Linked DNA regions of Daphnia pulex. The main gene of each other region encodes a partner of the protein of the gene in region 2 in a complex. Links are inferred from orthologs where the notes say so. Each region holds a gene or a part of one and is shown on either strand. Other genes may lie near its edges.

Evidence for each region. Proteins that work in one complex are often made in the same cells at the same time.
Region 1: eukaryotic translation initiation factor 3 subunit F-like (region 2) and eukaryotic translation initiation factor 3 subunit J-like share a complex: the UniProt entries of both Drosophila melanogaster proteins name them as parts of the eukaryotic translation initiation factor 3 (eIF-3) complex. The link is inferred for Daphnia pulex from reciprocal best matches to the Drosophila melanogaster genes eIF3f1 and eIF3j.

What each region holds. Positions count from the first base shown.
Region 1 is NC_060019.1:7,842,639-7,846,726, forward strand, and holds eukaryotic translation initiation factor 3 subunit J-like, read right to left. Parts: upstream 2,715-4,088; 5' UTR 2,650-2,714; coding exon 2,628-2,649; intron 2,495-2,627; coding exon 2,400-2,494; intron 2,156-2,399; coding exon 2,096-2,155; intron 2,033-2,095; coding exon 1,840-2,032; intron 1,752-1,839; coding exon 1,581-1,751; intron 1,518-1,580; coding exon 1,327-1,517; 3' UTR 1,253-1,326; downstream 1-1,252. Other genes in the region: coiled-coil domain-containing protein 39-like, read right to left, coding at 1-113, 426-545, 617-691; secretory carrier-associated membrane protein 2-like, read left to right, coding at 3,056-3,112, 3,282-3,389, 3,449-3,550, 3,611-3,692, 3,759-3,887, 3,977-4,088. UniProt on the Drosophila melanogaster protein: Component of the eukaryotic translation initiation factor 3 (eIF-3) complex, which is involved in protein synthesis of a specialized repertoire of mRNAs and, together with other initiation factors, stimulates binding of mRNA and methionyl-tRNAi to the 40S ribosome.
Region 2 is NC_060026.1:11,479,468-11,483,980, reverse strand, and holds eukaryotic translation initiation factor 3 subunit F-like, read left to right. Parts: upstream 1-1,892; 5' UTR 1,893-1,944; coding exon 1,945-2,053; intron 2,054-2,225; coding exon 2,226-2,514; intron 2,515-2,581; coding exon 2,582-2,673; intron 2,674-2,731; coding exon 2,732-2,982; intron 2,983-3,045; coding exon 3,046-3,129; 3' UTR 3,130-3,176; downstream 3,177-4,513. Other genes in the region: transcriptional adapter 2-beta-like, read right to left, coding at 140-371, 439-680, 747-985, 1,049-1,205, 1,264-1,323, 1,468-1,565, 1,639-1,645; cyclin-dependent kinase 1-like, read right to left, coding at 3,413-3,665, 3,734-3,897, 3,960-4,115, 4,176-4,471. UniProt on the Drosophila melanogaster protein: Component of the eukaryotic translation initiation factor 3 (eIF-3) complex, which is involved in protein synthesis of a specialized repertoire of mRNAs and, together with other initiation factors, stimulates binding of mRNA and methionyl-tRNAi to the 40S ribosome.

The DNA of each region.
Region 1 (4,088 bases), on a different chromosome or scaffold from region 2:
AATTTTTGGTTGATCCGTTTAGTTTCTTGCTCTATGGTTCCGGTTTCGGTGCTCGCCAAATTTAGCGCTTCCCGTTCCTGGCGTACTTGATTGCGAATATTTTTTGCCAGAACCTTTGATTTAAAAATTTAATTTATTAATTAAAAGTTAAAATCCATGCTTTCTTCATCAAATCAATCAGCCCTGCATGAAGTATAAATATGATATCCATGGTTAATTGCCTCGTTAATAACGAGGTGATTAAGTGAGACTTGTCTATGCAGAAATTGCTTTTACGTCATGTCATCTTCTGACGCATTTTCAGACAACAGAACAACATTTAATGATACAAACTTTGAACACAAAACAAGCAGGAAAAATCTGTTTAGCAATATGAAAGTTGTTGGACCGTGAACCATGGCCATCATGAGCAGATCTCTACTTACATGTGTTTGTTGTGTGCTTTGTTCAAGCGTCGTGAGATCTTGTTCGGCAGTTTTAACAACATTTTCATTTTGATCGAGTTCCATTAGTAGCTGAGCGAGTTTATTTCGCTTGTCTCGGACCTGTGTACATTGATATACGATTTAATTGAAATCAATTCTGGATTTAAAATACGGGAAAACTTGTTGCTTACATTTTGTTGAAGCAGTCGGTTTCTTGCGTTTGCTAAAGGCAAAAACTCTGCTCCGTTAACTTCTTTTAGTTCCATTTTCTTGCTCAACTTGTGCTCTATCACTCCAGAAATTCATTAACGAACTTTCTCACAGTGAAACGCCATATAACGAGTTAGAAGTATCGACCAAACAACCACTTTTATGCCACTACTAGTCTGCTACTCAGCAGGAAACGCACGTGCTTCATTTATTGATTAGGCATGCAGCCGGCTGCCACGGCAACGATTTCCATTACATTTTAAAAACAAAACCCCCCTAATCCCCTCTCTTACGCCCACTGGGTATCAAATAAGGATTCACCAGTATACAAATTTGCGGGGTACTCAAAACTCAAATTTAAAAAAATAAATATTGAAAGTTATTTGCTTACTTTTGACAGTGTGTAGCATTCAATGGGACAAATACATCTAACTACATCTAACTTTACAACTGTCACCATCTCCTTTTTTGACGCTAAAAGTAGAAAACTGGAACGTCTAAGAAAATATGCAACTTAACTCTATATATTGAATTAGAATAATTAAGAGGGAGGTTTTAACTTTTAACAGAAATTCAATCTCAATATATCTTAAAACACTGAAAAAACTGACAAGAGCAAAATGGCAAAATCATACATTTATTTTACCAATAAACCTTTTCCCGCCAAAAACAAAAGAAAAACAATTGGACCCTACATGAAGTCGTCATAGTCTCCTCCTCCGAAATCATCACCGAAGTTGTCGACCATTCCTTTGTCCATTTTTAAAGCAACTTTTGTTTTTCCTTTCTTTCCACCTTTTGTCGCCGCCTTCACCATCTTGAGTTTTTCTTCGTGCAAGGATTTGGTAGTTAGACTAACTTTTCTAAGGACTTCGACTTCCACTATGTTGAAAAACTGGGATGTAGAAAAGTTTTTAGCAACCAACATTAGAAAATGTGACTTACATCCAATGCAAACATCTTTAATGAAGTCCTCTATAAAATCATTATAGCACGCTTTAGTTGACAATGACTGAAGTTTTTTCACCAAGTTGTTCTTGAATTCTGAGAATTCCTCTTTAGATGAAGGGTTTGCTTCATCTATGCTTCCCTCTGTAGGCAAACTACCAGTAATTCCTGGAAAATAAAAATAACATTGAGAACAAAATATAAAACAAATCATGCTTAGTGCAGGTCAGCAATACAGTTTCCTAAGACAACTTACCAAAGGTTTCCTTGGCCATTTCAAAATCTGATTCTTCAACTAGTTTTTGTCTCCGAAGCTTTTCTGCTATTCTCTCTTCAGGTGTCATGTTTGCTTCCTGCAATATTTTTCTGGCTTCAGCTTCTTCTCTGCTTTTCTTTTCTTTTTCGGCTATTTTTTCTTCTAATCTTTTACTTGACTTTTTTTTGGTAGCCTGAAAGTAACAAACACATTTTAAATTTTTTGGATACTTTTACGAGAGATCACATGTACTTACTGTGGCTGCTGCTTTGACTTCAGCAGGCTTATTTTCTGTTTCTTCATCTTCCCAGCTATCCTATCATTTATAAACAAGAAAAAATGATAATTTTGAAATCAATCACAACTTTATGTAAAACTCATTGAGCAATAAGAATTTTTTGGCAAAAGAAGACACATGGTAGTCAAGTGAAAGTTGTAAGAATTGGAGCAGAAATAGAAAGGTACTGAGAGAACTTTTTTTCACTACAAGCGCTACAAGGTTCTACCAAATTTGTAGATATACTTACTACTAATATCATCACAATTGAATTACAACTCACCTTGACAGGTTCATCTTCATCCTCACCTTCCCATTTATCTGAAATTATGGCAGTCGTAACTGGAACAGGGACAGAGGGTTCAAAATCTTCGGCATCTATAATCACCACAAAATCGTATTTGATTAGAGTATACGATTAAATGGAACTTTGATATGCACTATTGAGAATTTCATACAAAAAACAGGTGGAATTGAATAACTTAATATAGAAATAATTAAATAAAATCACCCCAATCCGCCTCGGCCTCCATCTTCAACGAAAAATCGTGAACACACTAGTGTCCATGGCAGTTGCCAAATGCTTTCACTTTTCTAATAATGTTAATATGTGCATTACAAAATATTAAATATAGAAACCTAACAATAATTAAATTTTGAAACTTTATTGCAAACCTTTTATTATGAATTATTTAATTTTTTTTACCTGAGATATCTCGTTAATCCCAGCGTTGCTTAGTCTAGTGTTTCTGTCTTCCAGAGGCGCTAGTGTTTGCCTGTTTCCGAACTGCTTTTCTCTGACATTACCTGTTATTTAGCAATTGATAGGAGTTTCTGTCTGTATTAGTTGAGTTGACGTTTCACGGTGACCGTCGAAACAAAAGTTACCGCAAATTGGAGTAACAAAGTGACCGAAGTTAAAAAAAGAAATATTTGATAATGTCTGGATTTGATCAGAATCCTTTTGCAGAACCGGCTGTTTTCAACCCGTTTGCGGTAGATTATTTATAATATGTATATTATACTTACTATTACCATACTAATACCTTGGTTGAAAACTGGTGATTCATGGAGTACTCGCCGCATACAATATGAAAGAAAACCTTTTGAAAAATCACCTTGTTTATTAGTTTAGTGGTAAAGTGGTTGTTTACTTTCACAATAGGATCCATCTGTCCAGCAAGCTGCAGGAAACAATGCTGCGAGAGCTCAGCAAGGTCTTGAAGAATACAACCCTTTTGATGGTAGTAATCAAACTACCAGAGTTTCAATGGTAAAACATAATTTTATCATGAAAGTGGGAAGTGTGTTTGATTTGTTACAAAATTTAAGGACCGTGTTGGTGGAGCCAATCCACCCCCAACAATTCAAGCTGCCCCAGTGATATCTCCAGGACCACAACAACAAGCAGCTATGTCAAATGCGGATTTTCAAGTATTAAAACTTAAAAAGAAAGAAGGAAATCTTTATTCATTATATTGCATGGTTTTATAGAGACGTCAAGAAGAACTAGAGAAGAAAGCTCAAGAATTGCAGAGGCGAGAAGAAGAATTAAAGAATAATGTACCATTCAACTGTAGGAGAGAACAAATTTAAATGAAACTTTACTTTTTAATTTCTGTTATTTACTTCTTCATTACAGCTCAGCGCAATAATTGGCCACCACTGCCTGACAAGTTTTGTGTCCAACCATGCTTCTATCAAGACATCAATGTGGAAATCCCACTTGAATTTCAAAAAATTGTCCGCATGTTATACTATATTTGGATGCGTAAGTTAAACATATCATAGATTTCTTGTTTAAGTTTATTTTTGTTATCAGAAACTTTTATTGATTTTGTTTTGTTTCTTTATTTTCAGTGCACACCCTCATGTATCTTCTAAATGTTTTGGGCTGCTTAGCCTTATTCATTCAAGTGGGAAGTGGTGCCATGTTTGGCTTGTCAATCCTATACTGCATCCTTTTCACACC
Region 2 (4,513 bases):
TCGAATATTCAACCAATGGACACCACCAATAATGATTCATTTCAACGAAGTATTAACAGGTAAATAAACCAGTCGCACACTCTTACTATCGCTTGACGAAACTATGCAAGCAATAGTACAGACTGGGAAAATTGCTTACGGATTTCCGGCGCTGGCGCTCCAACCGGGCTTCTTTCTTTCTTTCACGGAAGTATCGCAGTCGTTCATATTCAGTACATTCCTCATGTCGAGTTAATCCATTCCTACGGTATTTGATTAGTTCTCGAATCCGCAATCGCAAAGCTCTCTCTTTAGTTAGATTGCGTAAGAATTGCTCATGCTCAGGTGCCGTGTGGAATTGGGAAAACGAACGAAATTTTTCTTGCGTTTCTCTGTACAAGGAAAAAAATGTAACTGTTTGTAATGAATCTATAGTTAACTAATTGAAACATGAATTACTTTTCCTTTTGGGACTCCCTTTTTTTTGCGGCAGTCGTAGGTTTTTCCTTCTCTTTCTTGATAGCGTTAAAAAATTGGGATACCAGTTGAAAATCCCGAGCAACCCGCTTCCTTCGGGCTCTTTCCCTCAGGCGGCGAGTATACATATCGACTTGAGCCAGTTTTAGAGCCAAATCAATATCCTCGTCGTCATGATTAATGGCAAGATGAGAAACAATTGCCTCAGCTTCATTGTCATGTTCCTACAAAAAATAAAAATAATGTTGAAGTTTTTAAGACAATTTGTTTCATGACAAATTAAGACCCACCCTTTCAAAATCATCTCTTTGAGGCATGTATCCAAGTTCTAATGTTTCTTCAGGTTGAATAGCTAAAGGTGGTAGTCGTGATGTGATGGATGGAGATAGAGGTGCATTATCTGGACAAGTGTGATCAATTGCTGCCAAGCGAGACTCTCCACTTGCGAGAAGTCCATTTGGAAGCCCTTGCCATGTTAGTTTACCTATTGTTCCTGTGACAAATCTATCACAGTACTGTTCTTTGCATTCTGTAAAAAAAACATAATTGGAGAGTAACTGATGATAAAATCCTGATAAAAATCAACAATTACTTTCTGAATCCCGTGTTTCTACATGTTTCGCAACATCTTCCCAATTTCCATAACCAAACTGTTCTATTGCATCAAGTAACTGATAGTCTTCCCTTGCAATCCAGCCACCTTCATCCTCCCTTTGTTGGTCAGGAAAAATACTAAAAGTACCAGGATCCTAGAAATTAAAAATAAAGTATTTATTGAGAGTTTGATAGAAAAACTTAAATACTCACTATTAATCTATATCCATGACTACTTTTATGTGGTCCAATTTCACAGCCAAGAGAGAAACACTAGAAAGAAACATTGCAAAACTGTGTTATTAAAATAATTCAAATTCGCCGCCGACCAACCGGCAATACCACTCCGGTGGGCGTCATAACAAACAACAAAGAAGGAAGGGGAGGGATTCATTCAACGAAGATTTTATACCACACCTGTAAACAAAGTTCGTAATCGACACAAACGTTACATCGGATTCGAATGCCAAGGATGTCGTCCTGACAGTAGCCACATCGATGCTTCATAAATAAATCTGAGGAATGGATACAGAAAGAAAGATTTTCAATTTTCGAAAATAAGGATTCAACGAGAGCATTTTTTTTTACCCGCCATCTTTAGCCTTCCCTTCCCATCAAGAACAACTAAGCTATGCCAACGCTAGCGAAAGCATTGGTCGCGCCCTCTGGTGACTGAGAAGTGAGAAGTCTTTAAAAAATAATTAAAATGACGTGTAAAATTTATAAACAATGTACACCGTACATTTTATTAAATTAAATTTTTTTTAATGTATAACGAGACGTGTTTGGTAAATAGAAATAATTCAACGTATTATATATCACCAATTGGCAACTAGTTCGTGTCGGCTTTTTCAGCTCCAATGCGGTAGTGGTCTGCAAAAAAAGTCACGCAAAATGGCTCTCAATCTGACTGTCAAGTTGCATCCTGTTGTATTATTTCAGATTATTGACTCTTATGAGCGTCGTAATCCTGATGCACAGAGAGTAATTGGAACGTTGCTTGGTAACATACAATTTAGATCATCCGTTTGCTTTCGCGTTTTATTGTTTTTTCGACTGTTGACACGTGTATCGGTATCGAGTACCTGACAAAATCTTTGGATTATATACCTAAATTCCTATAATATGCGAAATCGAAGTTGTGATAACTCATTTTTCATATTGATTTTTTCCAGGCACATCAGATAAAAATGGTGTGGAAGTGACCAATTGCTTTTGTGTGCCTCACAATGAATCAGAAGAAGAAGTGGCTGTGGAATTGGACTTTGCCAAGGATATGTATGACTTGCATCGTAAAGTTAATCCCCAAGAAAGCATTGTAGGTTGGTGGGCAACTGGTACTGGAGTCACATCTCACTCTGCTCTTATTCATGAGTACTACTCCAGAGAGTCCTCCAATCCTGTTCACATTACAGTGGACACCACATTGCAAGATACCCGTATGGGAATCAAAGCTTATGTCAGGTACATGCTATTAATTCAGTATGATACAATTGCTTTGAAAAATAATTATCTTTAAATTATCATCTAGTGTCCCAATGGGTATCACAGGCAAAACTATGGGATGCATGTTTGCTCCTGTTTCTGTTGAGATAGCATGCTATGACCCAGAAACTATTGGATGTAATTATAATAGAAAATGTGTATGTATACTGGGAATTAATCTTTGATTGTTTTTCAGTAAATGCCTGCCAGAAAACCAAAACCTCGGTTAAACGTCAAGCGGGCATCGCTTCGGATCTTACTCAGATTGTTGAAGCCTCGCAGCAGATGGAAAACATGCTGGACACTATCTTGGCTTATGTTGACGACGTAATGAGTGGCTCCAAAACGGCTGACAACACGTTTGGTCGTTCTCTATTAGATATGGTTCATTCGGTACCTAAAATGACACCCGACGAATTTGAAGAGATGCTTAATTCAAACCGAAAGGTAGAAAACATTACCCAATATTTACTTATTTAATCTAATTTTTGTAAAACTTTATTAATTTAGGATTTATTGATGGTATTATATCTATCACAACTTACCAAGACTCAACTGTCGCTGAACGAAAAACTCACATTGTTGACAATTTAATTCAGAACGTTGATATAAAAAATAAAAATGAACATCTCCCAATTAAATTACAATTTTCTGATGTAGTCCTCGTGAGCATATTTATTAGGAAACTATAGTATACAGTCACACGTACACAAGGGGGAAGAAAATTTCTTCGCTACCAAGGAAAAGAATCACACCCATCTTCTCTCAGAGAGCAAAAAAAATGATGATTAGGAAAAGCGAAAAACAGAATTTCAAGAAACGACCATCAGGAAGTTGGCCAGGTTTAGTAGCTATCGTTTACATGAGGAATGCTTAATTAAGCAGGCACATTGGTGGGTAAGATAGATTTATCCAGATCGGTAAACCAAGCATGATCTAAAGCATCCTGAGCCGTGATACGAAGGGCTGGATCGTAAATGAGAGTTTTTTGAAGCAGATCAAATCCAATCGAGTCAAGTTGCTTCACGGAATTTTGAAGGTGGTAAGTATTCCAATTAGGGAAAGTAGGTTTATAGTCGGGCATTTTTGAAACGCCTGGCCACATTTCCTCCGTGGGCGTCTTCATTACTCTGTGTTTCAAATAAAATAGGAACAAATGTAATTTTAAAAATAAAAAAAAAAGGACAAGTAACACTACCGGAAAATACGGTAAAGCTGATCAATTTCCGAATCTCCTTGGAACAATGGCTTTTTCGTTATCATTTCAGCCATAATACAGCCAACCGACCACACGTCTATGGGGCACGAATATCTTGATGACCCAAGCAATACTTCAGGAGCACGGTACCATAGAGTAACAACCTTCGTGAGTTCAAAAGAATTTATAGTATACGTCCATGCATTGGGAACCTTCTTTCCTTTACCTCGTGAGTGTAGACACGAACGGGAACTCCAAATACGCGCCCAAGACCGAAATCAGCTATCTTAATAATTCCGTTTTTATCGATGAGTAAGTTCTGGGGCTTCAAATCTCTATGCAAAACTCGACGTCTATGACAATATAAAATGCCTTCCAAAATCTAGAGGGAAAATATAAATCAGGCCAATATATAAATGAGTCCTAAATCTTCTAAGCAAACCTGGTGGCAATAAGACTTAACAAGAGTTTTATCCATCAACTGCCCAGTTGGAATGCTGTCCATGTACTTTTTAAGGTCCATTGACAGGAACTCAAAAATTAAATACAGCTTTCCTTCTTGCATCAAAACATCCTCCAGACAGACGATATTGGGATGTAGCAGCTCTTTCAAAAGTGATATCTCCCTGATGGCTGTCGAAGGAACACCATCATCTTCATTTTCAAGCCTGATTTTCTTCATGGCAACAAATTGTTGAGTCTTACGGTTTTTAGCCTTGTAGACAACACCATAAGTACCTTTGCGAAACAAAAGTTTTAAAATCAGTTCAAGTTACACAG